Arabidopsis thaliana: one gene and its partner. The protein of the gene in region 2 interacts with the protein of the main gene of each other region in a pairwise test. Each region holds a gene or a part of one and is shown on either strand. Other genes may lie near its edges.

Region 1 (3,360 bases), on a different chromosome or scaffold from region 2:
AAAGAAAACATGGAACACAATTGTATCACATGCCATGGATTGCGTTTTGGACGAAACAGAGTGTTACATTTACAATGCAAACACTCCGGGCGTAACACTTCTCTTCAACTCTGTTTATGAGTTGATAAGAGTGTCATTCAATGGCAACGATATCCAAAACCTTGATCAGCCAATTCTAGACCAATTAAAGGCCGAAGCTTATCAAAACCTTAACCGCATTACAGCGGTTAACGATAGGACCTTTGTGGGTCATCCACAAAGGTCCTTACAGTGCCCGCAAGATCCTGGATTTGTCGTAACATGTTCTGGATCGCAGCACATCGACTTTCAAGGTATACAATATGTAATGGTCATGGTGTTAAGTCTTTTGATATATCTATATCTTACTATAGACTAATTAATAAAAAAATTGATGTACCTTTTTTCGAAAATATAGGAAGTTTGGATCCATCAAGCTCTTCGATGGCTCTTTGCCACAAAGCTTCAAGCTCAACGGTCCACCCTGATGTCCTGATGAGTTTTGATAACTCATCAACCGCGAGGTTTCATATCGACAAAAAGTTCTTACCGACTTTCGGAAACAGCTTCAAAGTAAGTGAACTCGATCAAGTACACGGAAAATCACAAACTGTTGTGACAAAAGGTTGTATAGAGAATAACGAGGAGGATGAGAACGCGTTTTCTTATCATCACCATGATGACATGACCTCAAGCTGGTCACCTGGTACGCACCAAGCCGTTGAAACGATGTTTCTTACCGTGTCTGAGACGGAAGAAGCTGGAATGTTCGATGTTCATTTTGCAAACGTTAATTTGGGATCTCCAAGAGCCAGGTGGTGTAAGGTTAAGGCAGCTTTCAAGGTTAGGGCAGCTTTTAAGGAAGTCCGGAGACACACAACTGCCAGAAATCCGAGGGAAGGCTTGTAAGAACTCTTGCCTACCTATTAAAATCAGCGGTTTCTTGCGTTGCACGATAAATGTGTATATATATTTGTGAATAGGGTTAGATAAATGGATCCCGGCCATTGAGTTACGGGGATTAGCCTTTGCGTATATCAAAGTATTTTTTTCCCTGGGTAAGTATAGCTGTGGCACAGGGTTTGTAAGTTGTAACCATATGCCGTATAAGAATCAGAGGTTTCTTGTTGTACACGAAAGCTATGTATAAATAAAAGCTATGTATATATGTTTTTTTCTACCATAACTTTTCAATAATGGATCTCGGCTATTGATTGTTCTAGACCAATATGATACATGAATAATCTTTGCGTACACCTAAATTTTATAGTGAAAAATACATAATTTTAAAACTTTACTTTTGTAGAGATGCCTAAAAAAAAATGGTTTACCACATGGACATTGTTATTTGTTCAGATCTCCAACGTATAGCAATATTTGTGATTTATAGATATGTAATTTGGTGTTCAAAGAATGTGTAGAACAATTATTCTTATGGGTATGCCAAGAAAAGTTATATAACTTTATTCTATACTGCTTTCACGTTAAATAATGTAACATTATTAATGTTGTCCTTTTACTTTTCCTTGAATTGATTTGGGAAGAAGACTATTGGCTTCCTTATCACATCAAAAAGTCTATGAGTAAGTGAAACATTGGCTGGCTTTTGCTTCATTCCTTTGTCTCTGTCTTCATGTGAACAAGTTTGCAGAAATTTGTGGTTTCTTTTTTTACTTTCTTTTGTCTAATACACACACTCTCACCACTATTATAAAGAAAATCCATAGATCCCGGTCGTGCGTACTGCCACTTTGCTTTCCACCCGACAATGATTTGGGAGATGTTTTGTTTTGTGTCATACATCTACCAAAAAAGTCTTAATCATTGTTCATCAAAAGAGCGCCCAAGGGCTCTTTCGTCTTCTTACCACACGCACACTAGTTCGAGAGGGTTTTTAAGGAGCTCTTAAGCCTTTCTTGATGACTCATACCACGAACAAGAACCAATCTTGTCACCCATATAATCTCCGTATTCAGAGAATTGAAGAGTTCTTGATCACTACTGTTGTATCAAAAAGGAACTCTAAGAACTAAGATTGTTTTTTTTTATTTGATGGATCCAAGGAAGCTACTATCTTGTTCATCCTCTTACGTGTCAGTGAGAATGAAAGAAGAGAAGGGGACAATTAGGTGTTGCAGTGAGTGTAAGACCACCAAGACACCAATGTGGAGAGGTGGACCAACTGGTCCTAAGGTCTCTTCTTCTACCTTTAATTACTATATTCATAACTTTGTTTGATCTTAAGATAATTCATCAAGTGTTCTTAAGTTGTTTATTTTGATTTGTGGTGGGATTTGCAGTCACTTTGCAATGCATGTGGAATTAGACACAGAAAACAGAGACGATCAGAGTTATTGGGTATTCATATTATTCGCAGCCACAAAAGCTTAGCCTCCAAGAAGATAAACCTATTATCATCATCACACGGTGGCGTGGCGGTGAAGAAACGAAGGAGTCTAAAGGAGGAAGAACAAGCTGCTTTGTGTCTATTGTTATTGTCTTGTAGCTCTGTTTTGGCCTAAGTCAAAAAACAGAATATCTCTCGCTAGAAAGTTAAAAAAACACAGTTTTGTCCTCTCCTTTGTTGACGTTCTATATCTATTTTGGGTCACTCTTTTGAATATGAATAATTTAAGATTTAATGAAATAAGTTGGGCCTAACTTTGTGTCGAAAGGCCACAAATGAATTTTAAATAGATTGGAGTATTTCTGTTTGGGCTTTACATTGACTTGGTTGGAGATGGTCTTAGAGTAACTTGAATAAGATCTTCACGTAGATCATCACTGCGAGACGAAATCGGGTATGGACTGATCTGGGTGATCATGCTTCTCGGAGTGCAACATTTCAACCGAAATCAGATCGTGCTCGAATACTTTTCATAATGTACCAAACTATAAAGTAGGGTGATGAAATTTGCCAAAAGTGGAAACATGTCGACCCTTCTTACTTCAAGCCACGTAGATCCGTATTTGTCGGATCGGGTCACAGATCCGAATAAAACGGGTCTCTCTCTCTCTCCCACTCTCCCTCTCACGCGACCTGTTTACTTCAATCTCAATTATGCTCTCTCCCTCTCTCTATTAAACAGTCGATTTCTTACAAAAATTCTCACTTCCGTGCAAGCAAATGCAGTCTTGTTTCGAGTTTGATTCACACAAGGCAAGTATCTTCTCCTCTCCGATTCATTTTCTCCTTCTGGGTCATTTCGATTCTCTGTAATTAAAGACAAAGTTCGTCTCTTTTTAGGTCTCCTCGTTGAAAAAAACTCAGATTTTGTTTGATTCCCTTCTTCATTTCTGCAATTCCTCACTTGTTTTCGAATTAAAATCAAAAATTCGTTT
Region 2 (3,877 bases):
CATATTGACAAGTGTTAAATATGGCATACTAGAACACAATGCGTGACAGAGTCCTCCATTCTGTGATTATAGCCTTCACTTCTTCCGTCAAAAACCTAGAATTTTCAGAATAGTAAAGGAAAAAAGAGATATGTAGGTTGATTTCATATTTTTATATGTCGTAAATGTACAAATTTATCTGTCATTACGTAAATTCCAACTCGGTCATACGCTCGTGTATGATTTACTCATACGTAATGCAAGGAACGATGTTTCAAACTTAACAAAAACATATTTACCAAAATTAGGAAACATACGAATTGGACAATAAAGGAATAATACCTTTTAAAAACATTTTTTTTTTTAATTAAATGGGATAAGCATCCAATACACACATAAGCAAATGGAGTTCCGTTGGTGTCGGAAGTGACATGTGTAGACAAAAATTAAAGGGACCTCCAACACTGGATGATGGATCTTAAGCTTATCATTCCAATCACGCAAATTAATTTAATATACAAACCTGCCGACTCCATTTATTATATGTATTTTTAAAGCTGTACAGTTACGAATTGATGCACATATTTGTTTGGAGATTTAATGGGAAATGTCGAATCAATCTTACACCAAATCTATTTGAAAGAATAAGATCTAAAGTCAAGCTAGTTATATCCACCACTAAATTCACTTATTCTGTTCGTTTAAGGAGTATTCAGAATTTACAAACTCTTCTCATTGTCTCCGAAGAATCACAAGTACTCGTCTTGAGATTGGTAAGAGACATCAGTTTAAAATCTTATTTTTAAAATGTATATTCTTATATTAATAGCCATGACATAAAATCGTCTTTACAGTGTATACAAAAAAAATACAACATTCATAAAATCGTTGGATTGTACCTACAATAAGTATATAGGTTATTAAAAAAAAACATCAAGTTTATATCATTCAAATTCACATATGTTTTTTAGTCTCACGTTAGATCATATTATAACTTTTGAGATGAAATTTCTAACAAATTTTTTGAAATTTGACTATAAATCAAATTGAGGCGTGTACGAATTGCACGTGTAAGAACATATGTACACAACTTGTAACGAATACTCACCTTGTAATATAAATACATGCATATGTACCAATAGGAAGAACGTACCCATGGCCATATACACTAATTAAGCAACAAGAAAGTGATTATGTTCAAAATGTTGCCTCCATCAATTACGCAAATGCACCAACACGGCACACAGTATTAAAAAAAAAAAAAAAAAAACACAGCACACAATGATACAAAGAGATTTATGGATTAACCTTGTCAACTAGTATATGTACGGTCAGCAAACTAAGGAACAAGAAAATGATTTGCTTCCATAGTACGATTTATTGTTATTCCATAATTTATAAATGCTCGATCCTCTACCTGACTTTATTTTGTATCGGATGACGATGATGATCGAGAATTTTCTAGTAAAGCCATCTAATAAAGTTTTTTTTCTTTTTTTGAATAATTCCACAACATCACTTGGAATTATTTTTTTCTTCGAAAACATACATAAACCTAAATAAATTACAAAACTCAAATTGCATCAAGAATACTATATGTCTCGTTTTTTCCCCTTCATGATCCCAATGAAATACGCCACTATAGTACATATAATCTTAATCATATATCTCTCTTTAATTTGTTATGCCGCATCTCCGGCAAAACCTAGATGAAGATCCAGCGAGTTAATACTTCTCATCTGATCAGAACGAGAACTCAGATCTCTCTGGAACTGAATCATGTTCGGTCGAACACCGTACAGCTTACCCATCTCACCGCTTTGTTCATTAAGATCTTGGCACGTGTCATTATTACCGAAGTTAATCTGCGACGACCTCGACGACCAATCTTCGTTGTACACACCCATCTGATCATTATTCACGTGCATGGAGGAGAATGCACAATACGACGGCGTTTTGTATTGTCTCTGAAATGACGTCGTTATGGGTTGTTGGTGGTTGGTGAGATAATAGCCGATGCTGGCTCGCCGAGCTTGAAGCTGAAGCCTCTTCTTCTTCAACCTCTCCTTCTTGTGAGCGTTTTGGTGACCTCCTAAGGCTTGAGAATTTGCAAACTCTTTACCGCAGTATTGGCACTCGTGTCTTTTCATCACTGTTAACGACGTCGTGTTTGTGGACGAGCTCACGCTTTCCGCCGTCGTGATTTCCGGCGTACGACTGCCGCTGATGAGTTCGAAGCCGAATAGCTTTATCGTCTTGTCGGAGGACGAACCTGAAGAACTTTCGCCAGTACGAGACATTGTCGGATTTATAGACATATATGTGTGAACGTATGTGTTTATCGATGGGTTTAATTTGCTTAAGGAGATGTGTAAATGATCTTCTTTATATAGCAAGAGAGAGACGGGGGATATTTAGTTTAATAGTTTGTAACTAATGATGCATTGCATCTGTAATAGTATAATATATTGTATGTCTAAAGAAATTTTATATTGTATGAAGGGTTTTTTATATTAGTCATGAACAGCATCAAGTTATAGTATTTTAGGGTTTATAATAAAATTAGTTGTTTGAATCTAAGGTGTGACGAGAAATGATCTTGGAAAATAAACCTTGATAGGTACAATAAATATTACACTAACATGTAATAGGTTTTATAGAGATATATGTGGATACCACGCGCATATGCATATATGGGAAAGAAAAAGGGCAAAATGATAAAACGGGTTAGAGAAATCTTTTAAATACTATATATAAAGACTTAACTTGTCAACTTGTTTTATCTTTTATCTTATGTATTATACTATTATATCTACATTTACTTAAAATTGATCAAATTTAATTTATTTTAAATATTGTGGAAAAATACTTTCTGTTTAGTGCGTGAATAAAATAGTTAGATTAAGTTGAGATATGATGAATAAATAAATATATTTGAAAAGGCATGCAGCGATCACACCACTTGTGACAATTAATACAAAAGTTATATTCTAAGCTTAAAGAGAACATTAAGATGTTAATATCATATTATTGATCTAATATCAAAAGTCAAAGAAAGATATGAAGAAATAAGGCTAACCAACTTAGGCCAAAAAATATAATCAACATGGAAGGTTAAGTATAATATTTTGATCCCATAATGATATTAAATTTCACTATGTATTTGAATAACGCATATATCCATCATAAATTTAAGCGAGCAGATGACATTTTGTATCAAAACGTTCACTCAAGAGCATATTGCAACAAGAACGAAATCAAACGAATCGTCGTCCCTTGTTCTCTAACAAAGTTAATAGTCTACTGGATATTCTTTTTATTGATGTGTTTTTATGTAATTATCATTGTAGATTTTTGAAATTTCCCATCAATTAAAGTTGCTCGCAGAGAGAATTGATGATGGAGCATGAATTGAAGCTTTCTTGTAATTTATCTCAATGTCTTCCACCTAAACCAAATCTTATTTGTCTAATTACTGTGAAAAAGAAAGAAAAAGCCTATCTTGACCATGTTTAATGAATGTTAATTACTTATTACATTAAACAGGGAGAATAGTTAGTTGCCAAATGAAGGAATACAAGAAGTGGGCAATGATGCAAGCATCTATACTATTTAACAAATAAAAATTATATTCATAAGTCTAATCTTCAAAACAAGATCTTGGGCAAATCTTCATAAAGCATGAGAAGACAATATTTTATACAGAAAGAAAACTGATATTAAAGAAAGGTATAGATTATTCTATTTTCAGGTGAATCAAGTCATGGGATAATCTTATTTTAATACAAATAAGTCTAATGAAATGGCATTTGGTTTGGACAGTTGTTCCAATTAAGGACCCCACTGCTCTGTAACTTAAAAGATAGATCAAGACAATTAAGTGAAATAACAATAATTA

What was found.
Region 1: the proteins of ZFP5 (region 2) and GATA23 interact in a two-hybrid assay, tested with the Arabidopsis thaliana proteins (one large-scale study listed by BioGRID).

The regions. Positions count from the first base shown.
Region 1 is NC_003076.8:9,477,522-9,480,881, forward strand, and holds GATA23 (GATA transcription factor 23), read left to right. Parts: upstream 1-1,902; 5' UTR 1,903-2,070; coding exon 2,071-2,211; intron 2,212-2,318; coding exon 2,319-2,540; 3' UTR 2,541-2,679; downstream 2,680-3,360. Other genes in the region: CBP60G (Cam-binding protein 60-like G), read left to right, coding at 1-332, 437-927. UniProt on the Arabidopsis thaliana protein: Transcriptional regulator that specifically binds 5'-GATA-3' or 5'-GAT-3' motifs within gene promoters.
Region 2 is NC_003070.9:3,448,154-3,452,030, reverse strand, and holds ZFP5 (zinc finger protein 5), read right to left. Parts: upstream 2,341-3,877; 5' UTR 2,298-2,340; coding exon 1,662-2,297; 3' UTR 805-1,661; downstream 1-804.